3 linked regions of the Lepisosteus oculatus genome follow. The protein of the gene in region 1 purifies or fractionates together with the protein of each later gene. This does not show direct contact. Links are inferred from orthologs where the notes say so. Each region holds a gene or a part of one and is shown in the gene's direction. Other genes may lie near its edges.

Region 1 (7,343 bases):
CATCCAAGTACTGACCAAGCTCACACCTGCTTAGCAGCAGTGGGCTATCAGTTATGGGTTGTAGGATGACATAGCTGTTGATTAGAACCTCGTTGAACCCCTTTAATTTGAAGGAGAAAAAAGTATTGGAACAACTGGCAGGCTGGTGTCTCTTGTTGGTCAGCTGTAAGCTGTTGGGCAATTAGGCTCATAACAGAACTGTGAACATCTTATTATACTACTGTATTTTGCTTGGCTGTCAATGTTTGGAATCAGCATTTTAAAGTCAATATTTGAAACAATAATGGGCACACCAAAATTCACAATGTACTGTAGAATCTACTGAAGAAACAGACCATGGGTTTAATTACCAATTAGCAAAGAAGAAGTCAGCCAAGACAAATATGTGCAATTTGTTAATGGAAAAATCATCAGAGCTCTCAAGAAAAACCCTTTAACAGCCTTTAGTGAAATTGCTGGCAGTCTGCAGAGTCCAGGGGAGAAGGTATCACAGTTACAGTTTGTAGGAAAGCAGAATTACAAAGCCTAAGCCACATGTAAATCACTCATCAGTATCAAGACCAAAAAAAGACAGATTATATTTTACTCAGAAGTAAAAAGATGAGGCATGAGTCTTGTAACAAAGTTGTGATGAACTTTTTAACATAATGATAGAAAGTTATAAAAAGTGGAAAAAAGTAACCGTAGATTCTCTGAAGATTATGGTCTCATCTGTGAAGCATGGTGGAGGTAGTGGGGATACCACCTGCAGAACTGGCTCACTCATTTTTTTGATTATGTACCTAATGACAGCAACAGAGCGAATTCTGAAGTTTACAGAAACATTTTGTCTGCTTAGGTAGAAGAAATGATTCCATACATATTGGGCAGCACTTCACGATGCAGAAAGACATCGAACCAGAACACAAGGCCAATACAACCTAAAAGTTTAGACCAATTATTGCCTCAAAGGAGCATTTTAATATCTCGGTACTAACTGCATGGTCACTTGAAATCACTGGGTTGAGCACAAAGTATGTTTCTGTTTTATTACGATCAAACACATTTATATTGTACTTATCATTCATATTAATCTCATTATCTCATACAAAAAATGCTTAAAATAATTTCTGGCATTGCTATTCCAGTAGGCCTGTAAGTACAATAAATGCTGTTTTCAACGTTGAAGCAGTATTCATTTATTTTAATGAACTGGGCTTCTCCTCTCATGCACCTAATTTCACTTCAAAGTGAAATGACTTAATATCACTTCAAATCATTGATAATAAGCAAAGGGAGTCAAGAATTCAAAACACCTCATTAAACATCTAGGTTTTTAAAGTTGTACGATGTTATATTGATATTGTACACAAGCTTTAAATGAATGAAAAGACATTTGGTTCTGAAACATCTTGTAGACAAATATAGACAGGCAATAGAAACAGAATATTAGGATATGTCATGAAAAACCTAGAAATGAAATCTGGTGATGTTATGTGACGTTTGTCCACTAGTAAATATTCTTTAAAACGTTGTCATAGAATTCTTAAACATGGTACAAAAAGATTTTGCTGCTCTGGAATTAGTCCATAACCCTTCCAGGGCTAAAATGAATGCCTTGCACTGATGGGCTGATGGGCTGAAGGAAAAAAGCCTTCAGATGAAGATAAGATCAATTTATTGGCCATATACAATTTCTTGCATTAGGAATTTGTCTTTTCACATACCCCAACTTGCTCTCCATGAGACACACAGACAGGGAGAGAACCTCGGGGTCACACTGCAGGGTCAGCCATTTATATAGCACCACTGGAGCAGTTGGGGTAAAGGGCCTTGCTCAGGGCCCCAACAGAGTAGGATTCCTCTGCCAGCTACAAGATACGAACCAGCACCCATCCAGCCACAGGCACGGATCCTTAACCACAGAGCCACCACGCCACACTGCACCACAACCCCACCACCTTTAATATCTTGATGAGAGCAGACCTGGTCAAAATCCTTAATGACACTGATAAAGTCAACTCAGGACTTCTTCACAAAACAGTGAAGAACAAACGAGTGGACATGTGAGAAAACTACATGGAAGTGCATCTAAAACTGAGAACAGGAGGGCTCTTTTTTACTCAGAAGCTGCTGTGCCCAGCCATGTTGTTGAAGCTGATACATTCTTTTTCAACAAAGAGCTCGAAGAGATCCTTAGATCAGTTAAGTAGCATCCAGGTGGGCTACATGGTCTGCATGGCTTCCAGTCGTTTACAACTTTTCTGATGTTCTTACCCTTTCTGGGATTTAAAATGTATTTATTATTATTTAAGTGTATTGTTGTTATTGAAACTTTGTGAACCACAACAACAGCAGCGGAAAGGTGTTTACAAAGCAATTCTAATGGCATTATTTGACCCCAAAAATGAAGCAAGTGCACAAATTAAAATTTGTAGGAAGAAGTGCATTTAGAGTTGAACATTTTCTCTTTATTGAATACTTTTTGAGGAACTTAGGATCACACAAAATGACCTGAACAGACTACACACTCACATTATTGAAAGTGACACTCTTTCACCCTGACACCTTGCAAGAATGGGTGAGTGTGGCTTATGTGTTTGAAGACGAGTGTAGATATTGCACACTCTGTACAATCCACATGTGGATACTGTGCTGTCAATCAATCAACATTTATGTATCAAATGCACAACAATAAAGTGTGCAGCAGTAGTTGCTGGCAATGAAATGTCTTTTCTGCACGCTCACTGGAGGGGAGGGGGTAAAAATCACAAAATTAACGTTATAAAATAAGGCTACATAATAATACATACTTGTGCAATAGAAATGGAATAAAATAAACTCAGACAGAGCTCAATATAAATAGAGCTGTGATGTGTCCAGGCTGTATGCAATACATTATGTCCAAGTAGTGCAGTGCAGTATGTCGAATGCAGGCTGACTTATGTATAGGAACCACGCCATATGCTTTCCAGCAGAATAAAGACACTGCAGATCAGCATTTTGATTCCAATATGAAGTGATGTGTTTTCTATTAAACGTATAGCATGGCTATGAAGGCATTTTGTCCCTTTGCGTGTTTCAGAAATGGAATTTGCACACTCCTTGAGGAAAAGCATGGGCAAGGGTGAATGTCATCCACTGGAAAGCAGCAAAAAAAAAGTCAAATAATTTTGCCACAAGGGGGGATAATTAGACAGTGCAGCTTAGCACATAACTGCATTCCAATGAAGAATAGAGATGAAAAGACAGAAACCAGACCATATCAGAAAGAGTGCCTGTGAGCTCAGTGGACTTATCTCTTGCAGAGGTAGGAACTGAATAGCACCCCGCAAATTCCAAGACTTAAAGTTACTCCACAATCACTAATCTGCGATGTTGAGAGCCCAGATAGAAAATGTAAAGGAAAAGGCAAGGTTTTGATTCAGTTTTCTCTAAATTCACTTCTAACCAGATATTTCACAGGTTCAACAACTTGACTATTTTGAAAAGCTCAGTCACTGCTTTACAACATGCAGGGTCAAATTGCATGCAATAGGTATTAGGGATTTCTATCTAACACAGGTGACATGGTGATGTGGTGGTCAGCAGTATTGTGTCACTAGTCCTGGTTTCAATTAGGATCTGAGGGACCTTCTGTGTGGTGTTTGCATGTTCTCCCTACAGTTTTTCCACATGGGTTTTCTTCAGTGACCTGCCCAGGGTCTAGACTCACCTGGCTCACTGCATATCGGTAAGGACTGCCATTGAACAGGGTATTTTCTCTCACTGTACCTTCTAATAGAGAGAAATCATATTTTACCCTTTAAAGAATTCTTGCGGTGCTATGGTAGCAAAAAATTCCCAGTTCCACCTTGCAATCGAAAAATAATACAATATACTAAATTAGCGATTAAAAAATGCAGGTGTTTGTGTATCGAAATTCATGCAAAGGAAAGATTAATGGTTAAGAGGTTAGAAAAAGAGTATCTCGGTTGATCATCATGTGCTATTTAACGCCTCCTGCCATTATTCGTCCAGGGCAGGGTTAATATCTCACAGACAGGTTCACCGCAGTTCACACACTGTAAAGATTTGCAATAATACATTGCTACGGTGTGTACTGACGTCATCCGGGCATTGCGTAACTGACAGAGAAACGCCAAATCAGACACCTTCTCGGCGGTGACGTAGTTAAAGCGCATAAGCAGTGTATTTATAGAGCCTATTTAAGCTGTGCTGCTGCTGCTGGTCTGTTCAGTGTTTACACAGATTTGGCAGAGGTTAGAGGTGGCTGGGAATTGCTTGTGCTCTAGCCTAGTAAAATCGTTACATACAGTTGTGCGTTTTGGTAAGTGGGGTAGAAAATCGCGTCTTTTCACTTTCTGAAACGTACCTTGCCCTGCTTTTGTCATTTAAAGTGTTGTTTCAAGCCACGTTGTTTTCCCATGAGGTATGGTTTAGCCGTACTCCGTACAAATGAGGGGGGAGCTCCCTTGAACAAGTCAGCCGTTTCACAAGAGTAAAAGCATGTATTATTCTTGACATCCTATTATTATCATAATAATAAACGCACAAATTCAGAGACGTGCGTTTAAGCCTCTTGTTTTCTCGATAAGCGATGTTTTAAGTCGGGACTCGTTGCAGATACTGGATTTCTATTTTTAGGTCTCGTTTCACAAATTGTAATCGCCTGTAACGCCCTCTGCCAGTCCTTGGGAGTAGTGAAGCGGTCTGTGTGAACTGGGACTGGTTTAACTGCACCGCCGGGAGGGCTGGGGCTAATGCGGGACTCCTCGTCTTGTGGTGTCTTAGCTCCCCGTCCAGTCTGAAAGAATAATGGTGAAATAATTCCGAAAACGCCGCGAAGGAAGGAAACCCGAGGAGAGAAACCGAGCGAGCAAGCCGGACTCCTTCCTGGCCTCTCCCCATTTGCTTTCTGGGTAAGTGAGTGGTGTTTGAAATGAGCTCTCGGATGTGAAGTATCCGCCCAGTTTTGTCTGAGGGCAGGCAGGCGTCAGGCCGAACAAGGAACCAAAAAGAAAAGTTTAATTGATTTTTGTGTGCCGTCCGCAGTTTCTATCGTTTGAGGGGGGTTTTTGGTTTTTTTTTTACATTCGGCGCGATGAAGACCCGAGTCACGTTTTTAAAAAAAGACTGAAGCCAAAGATGCCTGTATCGTTACAGAAGGAAGGGCTGTAGCAACTAAACGAGATACTTCTTTCTGACACTTCGGACGCGGAACTCCTGAGGCAAAAGGTAAAAAAAAAAAAAGAAAAGATCAAATATGTGGCTAATGAACCCTGAATTGGACCAGCTGACGTTGAACGGCTGTTTCCTTTAAAAAAAAAAGTGCACGTTTCTTTTTTTTTTTTTTTTGGTGGTGGTGGGGGGGGCAACATGGGTATCGCACACGTACCCGAGGACAATCGAGCTGGAAGTGGCAAAGGGTGAAAGAAACACCACAACGCCCATCTCGCCGGCCGTGGCCCTGCAATGCAGATGGAGCTCGGCGCGGCGCAGCCCCTCTCCCGAGGCTCCTTCGGCCAAACGCGATTTGTGTGTGTGTGTGTTAGTTTTGTTTTTCTTTTTAAACCCGCGGTGTTAACGTATTCCACACCCACGGGCCTGTTGTGCGCCCACCCCGACGCGCGTTAGGAACCGCCAGGCGAGCAGCGCTGCGCGGTGTTCACGCCAAGGGGAGGACGGCGAAACTGGCCTTAGATCCGTGTGGACCTTGCCCCGTTTTATTTCATTGACGGCGACCAGAGGCCATTAATTTCACAGGAGGACGGGCTGGCGCCGTGCGTGTTCAGAGGTGGGGAGCGGATTCAGCTGCTTTGGGGGAGAAATTTGCAGACCCAACACAACTGCTACAGTTTATATCACTTTAGGGTCGGGTCACTTTGCTATGTCTGTGTTAATAGCTGATGAACAGGCGTGTGAAACGTAAGGTGAATACACTGCTTTAAGTGTTGGTGGTGGTGTTTTTTTTTTTAGAAATTCCTAAATATTTAGAATGATTTTTAAACTAGGCTAACCCAGTAATTTGTTTTTTACTTTGCTGTGATAGTGGAGCAGACGGTTAGCTGCCTACTCTGGAGTGTAAATTAATGTGTTAATATTAAGATGCATAACGTTTTTGTTTTCAAAATACGCAGTAAATGTATACGGATATGTGAACAGTTACGGAGTTTGGGGGCTGATTCCAGTTTCAGGGCTGGAATCTCAATTTTGTTGAGACTGGTAGTCTGCACATGTTAACTTGAAGCACTAACACTGGTTAAGGATATTGTACGTTATATAAAAAAACCCGTTAGATCTATTATTGCATGTTTCTTTTAATTAACATTTATCCGTTGACTCAAACGCGATGAACTACCCAGTTGGTAGAAAATACTTTAAAATTCCCCCGTTAGTGACACAAGGCAGATTTTGGCAGAAGACGGACTTTCTGTTCCTTAACTGGGTGTCGGAAAGACGTTTGGTACTTAACATTTCTCGAGCTTTTAACAGCTTGTTCAAATTCTGCATCATGAAAATGTTGCCTTTGTAGATCACAAGTGGGTGAAACTATGTCTTCGCAATAGAGTAACAGTTGTAACTGCACTGAGTAGGGGGAATGGAATGAACTGGGGAGGTTGATATGATATCTGATCCTCCACATCTTTTGTGTGTTCTTAATTTGTTGTGATAATATGGTTCTTAAATAGCTTTGCATATTTTAGCTTGTTTTGTACTAAATAATCCTGTTCATCTTAAACTTTTGTTTACATCCAAGCTGTTATGGGTAAGGCGAACGAAGACTCGTAAAGTTTTCCATAGAAACCCTTAAAACTGAGTGCTTTATTTTAACACAGCAATGGATAATCACATGGGTGCTGCTAAGCATTGTACAGTTACACAATTTGTGTTTAGCTGCCTCGTCCCATGCACCCCTTGATGCAGTATCTTCAAAAAGAATCATTTTTTTAATTAGAATTGTGTCCCAAGTTGCCTGCAGACTCTTGCATAATTCCTTTGTGTTTACTGTCGTGATTGTGTTTAGAGAGCACATCACTTTACCATTGCCCATCTGGGCTTTTGTGATTTTGATTAATCTTCATTCTGCATTGTTGTTCTGAAAGGAAGATGGCCACAGATATATAGCAAGCTGCACTGCAAAACCCTTCCCTTTGGTGTTTGATCTAGGACAAGGAAATGGAATAGGATTTGTTCGCAGTTGGAAAAATATGCAAATTGAAAAAGTCTTGAACGCTAATGTTAATGGTTGTGTAACATACACATTTTTGTAGATGCTTGTCCCATTTCTGTTACAGTTTAATCAGCTTTAGCCGATGGCTACACATCGATTGATCTCGCCCAATAATTGCACGTCCTGGCGA
Region 2 (7,276 bases), on another chromosome or scaffold:
TGCAGTACATTTACAGTACAATTCCCCATCATAAAAACACACAATGGCAAAACGGCTGTTACCACCCTTGGACAATAATGCAGCGAAGCACTACATTTCCCTGAAAACGTGTTCCCTTTTAAAAATCCTGTATGTATATATATATATGAATGTATGGTACATGTGCAGTTTCATGTTTAAAAAGTAGTCTCTCTCAGCTGCGGCCACAATGAGGGAGCTGATGGCCGATCCTGTCCAATCAGAAATGCAAATCACAGGCTGGAGCATGGGAGAATACACATTTCTACAGCGGGTGAGTTTCCCTCCATGCTTGTTGAACAGGTGGTTAAAGAGCTGGCCTAAGCCTTGCGCACTTACTGCAAATCCTCCAGGCCTGAAGACTGTGGTCTGTGCCAACAACGGAGAACAGTTCCAGGGGTGTCAGTGCCCCCACAGGAAGAGCTCAAGTCCAGCTGCTGCCTGGAAGAAAAAGGTGAGAAAAGACAATTCAGAGCCTGGGGCTGCTACAGAGACGAATGCAAGAAGGTCTGGGACAATCAGGGAGGAAAACGCCTTCGACTGCTTTCGCGCAAGGAGGAGAATACTCCTTAAAAAGCACGCCACGCGGACTTCATCTGGGAGAGCTGCGAACTTCGGGACAAGGCTAGGATTCATTCCGCGGAGGCTCTTCCACCAAGCAGAGTCCAATTCGCCCTATTCTGCACGGCCGGCCGTTTCACTGGAGGGATCGGGGGGGGGGGGGGGATGACTGCAGAGTCTCGCGCTCGCGGCCTCGAACCCGTGGCCACAGGTCAGGAGTCCAGAGCCCCGGCCGGCCGCTCCACACCGCTGCCCCGAAGGGCTTCTGAAAGGGGTAACCACGCGCGGCAGGTTCTGCCATCTGAAGGTGGCGTCTTGCCCACAGAACAATGACAGGAAAGGAAGCCCCTGTGTTACACTGAAAGGATCCCCCCACCCCTGTTCTCTGCTGATGGCGATTCTTACAGCTGCTTCCTTTGATCCAGCTGATTACTTTGACTAGCTTGCCTATCAGTGGGGAAACAAGACGCCAAAGAGTTAAAGCGCTCTTCCCAGATCGGCAAGCATGAATATGCATGAATCAGCCTATCGCTTTTAACACTCACTTGCGCATCTCTCCAGTTAATCCAGCTCCCCCTTTTCTCACCTGGATAGACATGTTTTTGTTGTTGTTGTCCTGTACGTGTTTGAAGTGTTTACAAAAAAAAAAGTGCACGAGATGCAGGAGCCGAAGACGCACCTCGGCCGTGCGGTGCGAGAGCCTGGCTCTCCACGATGCGTGTGGATCCCCCGGTGGGGGGGTTGTAGCACGTGGACGTGCAGCGTGATACACATTTTGACCAACATTCAGAAAAACAACGCTGGTAATATTGCACGGGGTGGGGATACTTTCATCAGACTCGTCAGCAATCAATCCAAAACCGGTTCCTCCGGATCCATCAATGGGTGGGGGTGGGGGAGATTCATCAATCTCCCCCGTGAGATTATCGGGCTCTACGCTCCCCTACAAGGTCTTTATCCTTTTTTCAGAAAGTGCCACGAATGCTCTCGCCAGCGCTGACTTCAGTCGCGACCCCACTCCCTCGCAGACCCCGTGTCCGCCAGACCCGGAGCTGAACTCGCCCGCGACGGCTGGAAATCCTGAACTGGAAGCGGAAGGCTTCCCGATCGAGCCCGGGGGGAACAGTCTCCCGATCTGGGAGCTACCTGACCGCGTCCGATGAGTAACACTTTCGCACACCCACAGAAGCGGCGTCAGGGGCGCTCCGCGGTTTAAACTGCGATGCCCGCTGCCGTCGCTAAAGCCCATCATACCCCCCAGATGCGGGGATCGGCGCCACTCTTTGATGACCTACATTAAAAAAATTGTCGCTGCTTGATTCTTTCAATGGGGGTGATCGGTCCCTGTTACCGATTTGCAAGATGCGCACCGCCAACCCGGCCTGCGCATGTGACAAACACAAAATCACAGAGCTGTGCGTTTCCGGCTCCTCTCCACTCGGGACCTTAAAGAAGTTTGCCGGAGGGCTTGGATTCACACACACCAGTCTCTTATCTTACCGAGAGACACCGGCACCCGTTTGTTTTTTGTGTTCCAAGGGGAGGTTTAATTCCCTCGTCTTGTGAGCGCGCCCGAGATTTAAGGAGAGCGTTGAGCTTTCACCGTGAGCAAGGAAAGGGCATTCCTTTTAAAGGCTTTTACACCGTACGCGTCTGTTGGCACGGGGTGGGGGTGGGGGGTCATTTTCCTGGTAAAAAAAAACGCCAGCACAAGTTTGCAAGCAGAACTCAGCATAACGTTCAGTCCCAAACCCAGGCAACCCGATTTCAAGTCACAACACCGGTTGGGAGGCGTGCAATGCTCGTCACAACACTCTCACTAAAGGTTCCGCTCCATTCACAGCCTTATCGTCTTGAGAGAGACGGGGCGAGATTTATTTTTTTTCCCCAGATTTTACTCTGGAGAAGCATGCCGGGCTCCGGGAGCTCCGAATGAATTCACACAGAGAGACAAGACAGGGGGTGGGGGCAGAGAGCAGCACCGCTTATCTACAAAAATCGCCATTCACCAGGCAAACTGAATCGCTGCACACAGTTGTTTTTTTTATAAAAGTAGACTCCATGCGTTATCTGTTGTGAAACCCACCTTCTCCTGTAAATCCCAGTTTATAACCCCAATTTGCAATACAAACACACATGGCCGTAACGCAAATCACCCTGGCACAGGAAGTCCCTCCTACCTGACGCGTCTGTGATTTGTACGCTTGGTGCAGCGACCCCGCCAACGCAGGGAAGCCGCCTCTCTGAGTGGCCGAGGCGACTGTCAATCAATGTCGCTCTTCCGCTCGGCCCAACACGACCCCACCCACCTACCTCCTCCTCCCCCCCCATCTTGTTTCTTTCAATCCCGCCGCTTTCACATAAGAGACGTGAACGAAGAAACGTTCAAATCGACCCCCCCCGCCCACCATAAAAACTCTCTTTCGCACGTTTTCGTTAACATAGCGCAGAGTAGCCTACCCCTCCAGCTCTTCGCTGGTGCGAACTGAACGAGAATTTGGCTCACCCAGTCGGTGAAGAGACCGTCTGAATCCAGGAGAGAAAACGTTACGACCCAATCCGCCGCCGCAGCTGCAGCTCGAGCGCCTCTCCGACTCTCCTCCTGACTGCGTAGACGCGCGCGCCAAAAAAAAAACACACAATAGCTGGAGCGCGCACGCGCACGCAGGGAGCTTTGAAGGGGTCCTTCTGCGATAAGAAGACGGCTTTTCCCCGCTCGTCAGGATGATAAAAATGCTTCAAACAACAATAATAATGATAATGATGATGATGAAAAACAAGATCTCATGCAAAATCTCGACCAGGACCATTTTCCCTGGTCCTCTGAATCCAAACAAGCAGGTTTAGCTGATACAAACAAGCCATGTGTCTCGGGTTTAGGAATTGTATCTCTGACGTTAGGAGTTGTATTCATTAGACCTAAAAACTACTGTGACAAATAATAGGAAAACATACTTTCAAAGTGCTTAGAATGTGCCTATTGGCAAAAAGCGACAGCCTAGCTCTCTGTATAGCTGCTGTAACAATTCACGTAATACATCTACCACTAATAATCATCTAAAATGACATGCTTATGCAGTTGCATGGGCCAGTATTGCTGGGTGGCAGATTTCTTTGGACATTTCATGAAGACGATGTTCATGTTTTATTGATTTAATTGACACCTTATTCACGCAAGTACGCGGATCCTTTTTCTCCCCACAACACGACTGCGTCACCGGCCGCTCTCTCCGCGATCGCTCGGACGCCTTCCCCAATGATTGGCAGGAAGAGGAGCAAATCGGATTCCGACTTCACAACACGGGGGGGGTGCGATTATTCCGACAATATTTCTGCGATTGGTTAGAAGGACCAGATAGACGAGAGTTCTATCCAATGAGCTTTGAGCAACTCTCCCAGCTCCGCGCTGCAGCGGGAACTTTTAGCCAATCACTGATGCCAGTGGGCGGAACTTACCGTCTTCATAACTCAGTAGCCTGAGCAGTGAGAAGGGCTCTTTCGACCTTGTTCCTTCAGCAAGAGGCGCTGTGCTGGTACAGATCTTGTAGTAATGTCTAAGGAGGTAAGTTTTTGCTTTTCTTCAAACTAAAGCAACTTACTAGGCGTTTTTTAGGACCTTTTAGTCAAAATACCCGTGCTTTGAATAACGTGGTAGTTAAAGCTTATTGGTGTAAAAGGTCGTAGCTATAAAAGACATCTGTGTTTTCATAAGTCGGTGGCTCGTTTGTTGCTGAAATTGTGGAAGGGGGAAGACGCACATCGTTACTGTTCACTTCAGTAGTATATTTCCCGTCTTTCTAGTTCATTACTGTGTTTTATTTCTGTCTTTGGTGAGGTGCGATCTGTCGCTCCGCCATTTCGTGAGGGCGGTGGGTGTGCAGGCCACGCGCCTGCGAGCGAAATCGTGTGTCTTTCCCCAGGAGAAAGACACGCTTGTCTCGCGTGGCTGTAGCATCGACCCGCGTTCTGTATCCGGAGCAAATGGGAACACCGTTAATCGGTGAATATACACAAATATTGCAAATCCAAGAAAAAAAGACTCGGATCCATTTCTTTGTTTCCTGTTGGTGTAACGAACATGGCGCCCAGGCCTTGGAAGTCCTGCCCTGGGTCAGTCGTCCCAGATCGCTCTTACAACAGTTAGACCTGTGCAATGCGGCTTATTTCCCGCATTAAGACTGGGATGCTGTTAAAACGCGCTCCTCTGTTTTGTGGAGCCTGGGCGGCCGTGTTAGTAAATATTGAGACGGTGAGTGTAGGCTGCAGCTCGCGCATGCGCCCTGCCAGGGCCTTTGTCTCCGGTCTGGAACCTTCCGCGCTCACGCGGGCTGGCTAGCGTGCCCACGCGCCGGCCTGGGGCCGCTTCGCTTCTGCGTTCTGGAATTGGCGTTGCTGATTCGGAGCGGAGCAGATCTACGTGTGTGTAACCCTAAGAGGGTGGGAGGACACGCTCCGGAAGTTTTCATTTGCGTATAAGCTCTGCAGGGCGTGCAATCGTCGCGGGTTTCCGGCCGGGTTCGGGTGACCGGCGGGTCCGGCCTGCCTCTTACCCAGCGCTTCCTGCCTCTAACCCCCGCTCTCCCCCGCAGGCCCCCCGTGAACCGGAACAGCTGCGCAAGCTCTTCATCGGAGGGCTGAGCTTCGAGACGACGGACGAGAGCCTGCGAGCCCACTTCGAGCAATGGGGACAGCTCACGGACTGCGTGGTAAGGAGAGGAGAGACCCCCCCCCTCGGGCCCCGTGCTCGCGGTGTGGGGGCGGGTGTAAACGATCCCGGGACGCGCCGGTTTGTGGTGCGGGGAGCGCCTGCCCTTTGCCCTGGCTGTGCGGGGGGGGGCGTGTTTGTCAGGCCTGGCGGCCGCGAGTGGGAGCGGACTAAAAGCTCAGGCCGTGATCTGTGTGGGCTGTGAGTCCCAGAGCTCAGGGCAGCGTCCCGCCCGGGACCCTGGTTGGGTGACCCCACCACTGTGACTTTGATTGGTTTCCTAAAGCTTGGGGGGAACCGGTTCAGTTTAAGGGGCCCGGCGCAGTTCTCCCCCTCTGCCTCCAGTGCTGATGTGACCCCCCCTCTCTCTCTCCCCCCAGGTGATGCGGGACCCCAGTACGAAGCGGTCCCGGGGGTTCGGCTTCGTGACGTACTCCTCGGTGCGGGAGGTGGACGCTGCCATGAACGCCCGGCCCCACAAGGTGGATGGCAGGGTGGTGGAGCCCAAGCGCGCCGTGTCTAGAGAGGTGAGCCCCCCCCCCAGTCTGCTGCCTGTTTTCCCTGGGGTTGGGGAGAGTGTTTCCGGATCGAGGGCCCGCCAGAGAGCTGTGGAGCCGCTGCCTGCCACCCCGATACACGCGGGGGGCTCGTCGGTCCTCGGCGGGACCTGTTGTCCGCACTGCGGAGCCAGAACAGGAGGAACGTCTTTGCGCAAAGGGTGGTGGTAGGAGGGAACTGATGTTGAAGCTGGTTTCCTGGCTTCCTTTTCGGCTCTGCAGAATATCCATTCAGTCTTCTGATTGGGGCAGCGGGTTCCGTTTTACCCAAAGAGTGGTGGGAGTGGGGAACAGGCTGTTCAGCCACGTTATTGAAGCCGGTACCCCACCACCCCCCAGATGGATGGGGTCGATTTAAGCCAGTAGCTGCCCTAGGGGGCTGGACTGACCCCCCGGCCTCCTCCTCCTCCTCTCGTGACCCGCCTTGTCTCCTTGCCCCCAGGACTCGACCCGGCCCGGCGCCCACATGACCGTCAAGAAGATCTTCGTGGGCGGCATCAAGGAGGACACAGAGGAGCACCACCTGCGCGACTACTTCAGCGAGTTCGGCAAGATCGAGGTCATCGAGATCATGACCGACCGGGCCAGCGGCAAGAAGAGGGGCTTCGCCTTCGTCACCTTCGACGACCACGACTCCGTGGACCGGATCGTCAGTAAGTGTGGTGGGCGACGGGCCTTGTGCTGGGGGGTGTGGCGCCCCTGGGGGAGCCTGCCAGGCCACTGTAGCGACGTGTGCCGGTACCTCTCCAATGTACACCCGTACCCCGGTATCCGAGCCTGATTCGTTCATGGGGAATCTGTTCGGAAGGCGGAAGATCATAAATCCACCCTTTCCGAACCGAGGACAAGTTCGCTCAAACTCTTCATGTTCAGATTGGCAAAAACTCGTGTGCCGAACGTTCTTATGCCGGGGTGTGAGTGTGATTTAAAAGGGTCTTTGTTTTGGCTTCTTGGCTCTGGGTATTTAGGGGGGGAGGGGGTTTTGTGGGTGTGGTGCTGCACCCCTGGTTTGGGGCGTGCCCCCCCCCCCCCGTTTCTGACCGTTGTCCTGTCTCGCTCTTCCGCAGTCCAGAAGTACCACACAGTGAACGGCCACAACTGTGAGGTGAGGAAAGCGCTGTCGAAGCAGGAGATGGCGAGCGCAGGGATGAACATGAGAGGTAAGCCCTCTGCGCTTGGGGTGGGGCGGGGGGGTGGGGGTCTTGGACCCTGTGCCATTGGTGTTTTCAGCTCTTTTTTGGGAGAGGGGGATGACCCTGGGTGCTCTTATCTCAGAATTGATCTGGCTTTAGACCCGAGTGCTTTTGGGGGTTTATTCTGACCAAAGGAGAAAGCACTGGGTCCTTACACACAGGTGTGTGGGGCCCGTCCAGTCCATCTGTCCTGCTTGGTAGCTGATCGGTGCAGTGGTCTGTCACTGGGTTCCTCCTGGCTC
Region 3 (7,837 bases), on another chromosome or scaffold:
TTACAGTGTTATACATATTGACTCCTAGACTAGACTTTCAATTGGGCCTGGTGTTTTTTTCTTACCCTTTTCTGTTTTTCTCCAGACAATCCTGCTGTCAGCGGACTTCTCCTGTACGGAGGAGGTGCTGACGATCGTGTCCCTCCTGTCAGTGGACAGTGTCCTCTATAACCCCCCTGCCCGGAGGGAGGAGGTCTACTCCAGGCGTAGGAAGTTCATTTCCAGTGAGGGAGACCACATGACACTGCTCAACGTCTACAGGGGCTTCAAGAACGTGGGCGGAAATAAGGTGGGGGCGTCCTCAAACGTTCCAATACCCACAGGATTTAGATACACCTTTCTTGGGCAAACTGGCAAAACCAATATTGAAAGGGTTGGCAGGAGCTGATCTGCAGTATTATGTATCGCCAAGCTGTCTTTCCATTCTACTTTTTACATTTTTTTCCCCTTCGCGTTTTGCAGGATTGGTGTCGAGAGAACTTTGTGAACAGCAGGAATATGTCTCTGGTGACAGACGTTCGCAGTCAGCTGAGAGAGATCTGTGTGAAGGTATGAGACTTTGTGGATGTGTGGTCACCAATCAAAAGGGCTCTGGCTGTTATGAAATGTATTAAAAGAAAGGTGTTGCCCAGGAGATGACTAGAGAGTTGGGCACCTCATAATGCAAAGTATTAAAATAGAGCAGAGCAGTTTGGTGTCAGAGACTTTATTTAGGAGGTGTTATTTAGGGGTTATTATTTTGGTAAAAAAACATTCATTTTATTTGAAATCTGTTTTGGTTTTGCTGTTTGAGTTAAAAAGATGCGCTTGGCCTCACCCCTGTCATCATAATGTCTGATTAACTTCCCGGATTTTTATCCCCCTGCACGCAGCTGGGAATTTCCCCCGAGTCCTCTCGCTCCGATATGGGAAATGTCCGCCGCTGTCTGGCGCACGGGCTGTTCACGAACGCAGCCGAGCTGCAGCCTGACGGGACGTACATGACCTTGGACACTCACCAGCCTGTGGCCATCCACCCCTCCTCCGTGCTCTTCCAGGCCAAGCCGGCCTGTGTGGTCTTCAACGAGCTCCTGCACACTTCCAAGTGCTACATGCGGGACCTCTGCCTGGTGGACCCGGACTGGCTCCACGAAGCTGCGCCCGAGTACTTCCGCCGCAAACTCCGGGCGATCAAGAGCTAACCCCCCCGACCAAGAGGCAACTTGTGCACTAGATCTCAAGGCAGCATCTTGTTTTCACCCCACATTCACCCAAAAACAGTCTATGGTAACAGAGTAGCATACACTGTTGGATTACAAAGCATCCATCCATCCATCCATTTTCTAACCAATTCTTCCAGTTCAGTTTAGTGTTGGAACTGGAGCCTATCCCAGCAAGCAACAGGCTCAAGGCAGGGTACACCCTGGATGAGATGCCTGCTTACACAGCATCTTTGTTCCAAGATCAGTTGGTGGAATGCAACACATTTGGCCTTAGAGAGAAAACTCACTGTATCACGGATGTGACAAAGATAGTCTGGTGTTTGTGGTGAGAGTTTGGGACCTGTGGGGTTGTCTCCAAAGACAACTCTAGAAATGACTCACAGTTTCAGCCTGCTCGGACAACGTCTGACCTCCACTGACTCTGTTCTGTCACCTCTCAGCTTTCCCTTGTTTTTTTACTCTTCCTTTCTCTTTCTCAGGGCTAAATCATCAGCAGATAACCGAATATTAACTTAAGAACCAGCCTGGACAATGAATTCAGCCATGCAATGAGACCTTTTGTATTCTTTTCTGGAAGAGATGGGCTGTTGCTGTGATAGATCAGTCAATTATAAAGAACTGAGCCCCACAGTGGTAGGTTTTCCACAGTTCTCATGTGTCTGGCACAACCTTGCTTTTGTATTTGACTGCTGGCAGTTTCAAGAAACACCCAACTGCTATAAAAATAGGAATATGATTAGCTTCACAGCCAGACTGCTGAGCTGTGGAGCAATAAAGAGATGTGCATTTATTGTACCTTTCAATGGCAGATATTATTGTGAATCATCTCATTCCTCCACTACCTGTTCTGCATCTTCAACAAGTTGGAAATCTCCTGAAAAACTCATTGTTAATGGAAGTCTCTTTACTTATTCTATCATTTGGCCTTAAAATGCTTACATGGTTTGACTAGCAAGCCTTCTGCTGCTGGTATTACAAATACTGGTTGGAACATGACCAGTTTCCTCCTTTCTTTATAGTGATACAGTGCAAAAAACCCAGGGAGGAGTCAAGTCACAGGATAACCTAGGTTTTTTGGGGACGGAGGCATAGATTTATTTTTTTCTGTAAATCGTGTTATGATTCTTCTTAACCAACACGGATTTCTTCACATAGTTTCACTGTGATCTTGCCAATTTTAATATTTAGTCTCACGTGCTCCCTTTAACCTGAGAATTGGATCTCTGAAACTTTGTGAACAATGGCCAGATTTTCAAATAACCCATGTTAAAGCTAACGTCATATGGCATTAACAATTACCCACAGAAAGAATGATAAACCTTCACTTTGACCTCCACCCTAGACTTGACATATTTAGCTGAGGGAACAATTGCACATTAATTGTAGATTAAACTGGTGGACCATTATTTTTCTTAAATTGCTTGTTATTTCAATATTTAACTTCTGGGAAAGCAGGTAATACTTTTAATAGAAGTCACTCATAGTTTAATCGCATGCCATATTGCTTTTCAGTGGCTTTACACCACTGTAGCATTTCACACATTTCGGGTGTAAAGATCTGTTACACTAATGTTCACTGGTCCAGTAGAAAATCACTCTGGTTCTTAAATAGGTGAGTTTATTAGTGTTCACTTCCCTCTGTATCTGTCCAGCACTGTTGAGCAATTGCTGATTTACCCATGTAAAGTAGCAGTAGGTTTGCAGTGCATGTTTTAGAAGTGAAAATAATAAGTTGTTAAATGTAGTTAAATGAACCTATATTAGACAACAACACAGGGAATTGAGTTTTAAGCAAGGTAATTAAGCTCCAGACAAATTCAGTCCACTTTTTCTAAGGTGATATTCTGTTTCCATAATTAAAGAGAAAGGTTATTCTCGAGGCTTGAGCTATTGTAGGTTGTTTTAAAGTGGGCTCTTCAGTACCTTAGAACAAAAGGGTTGTCAGGGTGTGGGTCCACGTTTTTGCTCAGGGTTAAGGATTTGTCACACAACGTCATAACAACAGCAGTGTTGCAACTATGCTGTTTATGCTGATTAAGAGGGGCTTAGTCAAGAGCAAGTATGACATGAACTACTTTCAGGACGAGAATATAAAATGTGAGTATTAGGTTTGTGCGTCATGAGAGCTGTGAGAATAATAGATGCTCCACAGCAAGGCTGGGGAAAAGGACAGATGATCAGTTGTTACTGTTGTATTTCATTATTTTATTTACAGAAGGAAATACGGTGAATGTCCTCTTGAAGAAAATACACAAGTTCAGAAGGTTTTCTGTGTAAATGGGAGGATTTGGCTAAGAAGCCTCAGAGCAGATATTGGTGCAAAGGGTGTTTTGAGTAGGTTCTTTTGATGGGCACAGAATTGTATGAGTGACACAAGGCTTTGTAAAATAAAATATTTATAATAAAGACTATTTCTACACAATGTGGTGTAGAATTTGTTTTCTATATGTGTTGCATGTGTACTGTATATGAACTTCTTAAGTTCTTCCTTAACAGCTCACACATCCCACACATTTAGTCTCTAAATCCTTAAAGACGAGCAGATGTAATGATGTAATAATTTTTATGTAATAATAATGTGGGAAGTGGGGTGCAGACCAACTTCATGGGCGGAAAGCGCTGTCTCAGGGGGACCAGTGTGTCTGCAAGATGTTCTAAGTCACCAGAATCTGAGGATTGATTATGTACTGTAGGTCATTAGGAGTAGAGTTAGCATGAAAACCTGCAGACACACCGCTCTTGGAAGACCAGAATTGCTCATTCTTGCCCTAGTTTAAATAAGGCACAGTACCACCTTTATACCACACCCTTACTACTTCAGGGAGCAAAACTGAAGACCTGCACCCACACAGTCTAGGGTTACGCACAAAAGTATAAACGTCTTAAGCGGTTACACTATTCATACACAAAGTATGAATCGAAAGTCAATCGGTTTGCTTTAAATTTTGTAAGTGTTCAAATTTTACCATTATTTTTAAGACTTCAAACTAGCATTCCAGGAAAAAGGGAACATGGGATAAAAACAATCCAAACTACCGGTCAAACAAGGACACGGGCTGTGTTGCACAGTTGAAGAATACGGTTCGTCTAGAATACATTTTGCCACAATACACATGTATTTGTATTAGAAAAGGGCACTATTTATAGCACAATTTTAAATGTAGTTAGATTTTAAAATTATAAAAATTGTAAGATAAAAATAAAAGTGTTGAGGGAAAAAAAATCACATAACACCGGGTGAAAAGCTCTTAGGATATTTCTCTGGAAAAGTAATGATAAATAGTTTCCAGCCACTCCAGAGGTAGAAAGATGAGCACGGAACTGTTATTCTACTTAATGCGTTTCTACGACCATATTTTAATAGCGCACGGACATCTTTTTCCAGTTCAAAGGTAAAAGGTCACTGCGAAGGAGGAGGTCAGAGCGTCCTTTCTGCCGACACGTGGTTTCCAGTAGTTTCTTAGCGGTTTGAGTCTGATCAGTGGGAGAAGGGTATTCCGTCGCACGCTTTTTTGGGGGTGACCTCCGATTTCAGTCAAACTTCTTCAATACTAGCTTAGTCGTCTGAAACCATGTTGAAGTCTCTTACCCGGGCCCTCGGCGTCGCCACTCGTATTTCCACCAGCACAGCCGCCTCTTCCACCCGGGTGCTGGAGCCTCTGCTCCGGCCGGCTGTCGGCGCTCCCAGCTCGGCAACAGCTCGGCCCTTCACCCGCTCTATCTGGATGCTGTGCAGTAGCGGCTCCTCATCGGAACACAGGCCGGGGTTGCTGAGCAGTAGTCGGGGTATCCCATCGGTGTCGTGCGGCTGCGGAGGACTTCACACGGAAGGTAAGCATAAAGAAATAATCCTGCGAATTATTGTGGGATTCTGGGGCTCTGATGGTATATCCGGGACGATTGATGCTGCTCGTGTGCGTTAACCCAGATGTGTTTCTTACAAACAGCGTTCAACCGGTTTTGTTACAATCACGTTATGGACAAAAACGGCCTTCAAGAAGATTAAAATGAGTTTTGCAAACGGTAATTCCGGTTTGACATTCGGGGCTACAGTATCCCCACATGATCAGTGAAGTGTCGAAGAAGGACTTGAAAAACCTTTTGTTTTATAAATCCGGGACGTTGAATTGTAATGATGCTTCGACACACATGCCCTTGATGTTATTTCTGTAGAGTGATACACGCTGTGAAGAGCACTCCAGACTTCTGTGCAATATTTCGATTATAGGCGTGAAGCATTACATTCAATGCACTGTCCATCTGTAATTATGAGTATTGTGTATACATCTAAACACCTTCATGGCAAGATCGGTAGTTTCCTACTGTATGCTTTATAGTTTTACATTGAAAATAAAAAAAAACTTAAGTGATGTACCTTCTCTGTATCTGTGTAAAAAAAACTAACAATGCATAATCGGAAACACATTTCTTTGCCAGGAGACAAGGCATTTGCAGAATTCCTGTCAGATGAGATTAAAGAAGAGAAAAAGATTAAGAAGCACACAGCGCTGCCCAAGATGTCTGGGGGCTGGGAGCTGGAACTCACAGGCACCGAAGCCAAGCTAACTAGGAAGATCGCTGGAGAAGTGTAAGAGAAATGTTGAACCCTTTCTTCAGAACCTCATGGCACACAAAGTCAGCCCCGGGAAGGCAATTTGTTCCCCGAAAAGGATGATGATTGAATAATTTAAACCCCACTCTTCGCATGCCATACTGCATTTCAATTAAGATTAAGATTGACATTTGATTTCAATTTCTCCACCTTTAGGGTGTCTTGATGTGACCTTCCCTTGTATATCAGATGAGTCATCCAATACACCGTCTAATCCTTCCGACCGACACAATCCACCTCTTTAGTTAGGTGTTAAACCAGTCTGTCCTTTCAGGATCTGGCTGAAGTCAGCTGGTTGACTATTTAAGTGAAGAATCTATTCATCAGTGGATGAATCTGAATGTCAGAATTCCTCCTCAGAGTTGTGTGTTGTAAGTCATGCACGTTGGGCAGTCATGAGTTGTAATTACTGGGTGGGTGAAGTAACATGGCTTATGGCTAAAACACCAAAAACCTTTCTTAACAGTCAGCATCAAATGCTGTTATTGGTTTTATGCAGTTTAGCACAGGAAACCCTGAATATCATTAAATGGGAAGAAGTCTAGAAGCAGCAGCCTATTGATTTGACATTAAAAGAAGCTGGGGGGGGGGCAGCATTGCTGTCAATGGGGCCCTGGGTTCAATTCCAGTCCTGGGGTGATACTGCGTGAAGTTCGTGTGTTCTCCCCGCATTTGTGTTTGAGTTTCCTCATACACACTGGTGGGTTGATTGTCCTCTGAGAAAAATGTGTGTGCCCTGTTATAGGCTTGTGTCCCATCCAGGGAGCTCCCCTCCTTGCACCTGTTGCTTGCTGGGATAGGCACCTGCTCACCTAAGGAAGCAGCAGCTGGGAAACAGGTGGATGGGGAAAAACCCAGGGAATGGGGATCATCAAAGATGAAGATAAATGCCAAAATATTATCAAGGACTTAAGTTGCCTCAAGCTGAGATTAATGCTTTGACCTCTTGCCAGGATGCTGATTATTTCCTTCTGTCTTTTCTCAACGCTGCAGGGTGTCGGTCACATTCAACATCAACAACAGCATCCCACCCACCTTCGATGAGGAGCCAGAGCAGGGCCAGAAGCCCTCCGAAAACGAGGTGAGCGTGCACTTGGTTCTGCCTGTGTAGAGTCCAGGTCTTGGTGGCGTGAGTGGTAGACTTCTCTCATAAAGGGCACTGGGATATAACCAGGGTCTTTATGTGATTGTTCCCCTTGTGTTTCTTCTAGCCTGAAATTGTGTCAACACCCAACTTTGTCGTGGAGGTGGCGAAACAGGCTTCAAACCAGTCCTTGGTGTTTGACTGCCATTATCCCGAAGATGAGGTGGGTCTCTCGGTACTCTGCCCTGGTCATTCATGAATGGGCACTGATCTTCACACTGGGCTCAACAGGAGTTGCTGACATGGCTCAGAAAGTGAACAGTCATTGTTGATGGTTTGCACAGGTGATTATTTCATGTGTCGCATATGGACTCACCTGAAATAATCATAGAATCAAGTGCAATAGAACTATGTTATCTTTTATTCCCACAGTTATTTGGTCAATTAACTGTTTATTTTAATACCTATATATATATATTGTTTTGTTTTTTTCCCTTTTTATCATACATGGATGTCTCTTAATGGGTTAGTGTTCTGTTAAATGTATTGTGTTACCCACTTGGAAAGCAAATTTCCCATCTGGGACTATAAAGTATAACAAAGGAGCGATTAATTGCGGTATTAACGGGCCGGGTTTGCTGTCCAGGTGGGCCACGGCGAGGGAGAAGAGGAGAGTGATATCTTTGCCGTCCGAGAGGTCAGCTTCCAACCCACTGGAGAGAAGGAGTGGAAGGACACCAGCTACACACTCAGCACCGACTCCCTGGACTGGGTATGTAGTCCCTTCTTCCAAGTGATTCTTCCTCAAAAGCTTGGATGAGAGTCTAGAACTACCCTGCCGATGTGTAGTGGAGATGTGGAAATATTTGGGATGGCTGCAGCAATAATTCTTTTTAGATGCGGTTGTATGTAATTGTAGTGAGGCCAAGACTTTTCTAA

Evidence for each region. Proteins that work in one complex are often made in the same cells at the same time.
Region 2: the proteins of kras (region 1) and hnrnpa1b purify together in Homo sapiens (affinity purification with mass spectrometry; 3 studies listed by BioGRID and IntAct, with this or other methods). This does not show direct contact. The link is inferred for Lepisosteus oculatus from reciprocal best matches to the Homo sapiens genes KRAS and HNRNPA1.
Region 3: the proteins of kras (region 1) and c1qbp purify together in Homo sapiens (affinity purification with mass spectrometry; 3 studies listed by BioGRID and IntAct, with this or other methods). This does not show direct contact. The link is inferred for Lepisosteus oculatus from reciprocal best matches to the Homo sapiens genes KRAS and C1QBP.

The regions. Positions count from the first base shown.
Region 1 is NC_090702.1:51,787,927-51,795,269, reverse strand, and holds the start of kras (GTPase KRas), read left to right. Parts: upstream 1-4,219; 5' UTR 4,220-4,309; intron 4,310-4,626; 5' UTR 4,627-4,901; intron 4,902-5,089; 5' UTR 5,090-5,217; intron 5,218-5,356; exon of another isoform or gene 5,357-5,776; intron 5,777-7,343. UniProt on the Homo sapiens protein: Ras proteins bind GDP/GTP and possess intrinsic GTPase activity. Plays an important role in the regulation of cell proliferation.
Region 2 is NC_090696.1:19,466,751-19,474,026, forward strand, and holds the start of hnrnpa1b (heterogeneous nuclear ribonucleoprotein A1b), read left to right. Parts: upstream 1-4,032; 5' UTR 4,033-4,129; coding exon 4,130-4,141; intron 4,142-5,168; coding exon 5,169-5,285; intron 5,286-5,664; coding exon 5,665-5,811; intron 5,812-6,283; coding exon 6,284-6,494; intron 6,495-6,908; coding exon 6,909-7,001; intron 7,002-7,276. UniProt on the Homo sapiens protein: Involved in the packaging of pre-mRNA into hnRNP particles, transport of poly(A) mRNA from the nucleus to the cytoplasm and modulation of splice site selection.
Region 3 is NC_090721.1:3,224,808-3,232,644, forward strand, and holds the start of c1qbp (complement component 1 Q subcomponent-binding protein, mitochondrial), read left to right. Parts: upstream 1-4,593; 5' UTR 4,594-4,774; coding exon 4,775-5,033; intron 5,034-5,639; coding exon 5,640-5,790; intron 5,791-6,807; coding exon 6,808-6,895; intron 6,896-7,025; coding exon 7,026-7,121; intron 7,122-7,544; coding exon 7,545-7,670; intron 7,671-7,837. Other genes in the region: ATP-dependent RNA helicase DHX33, read left to right, coding at 86-289, 463-549, 873-1,181.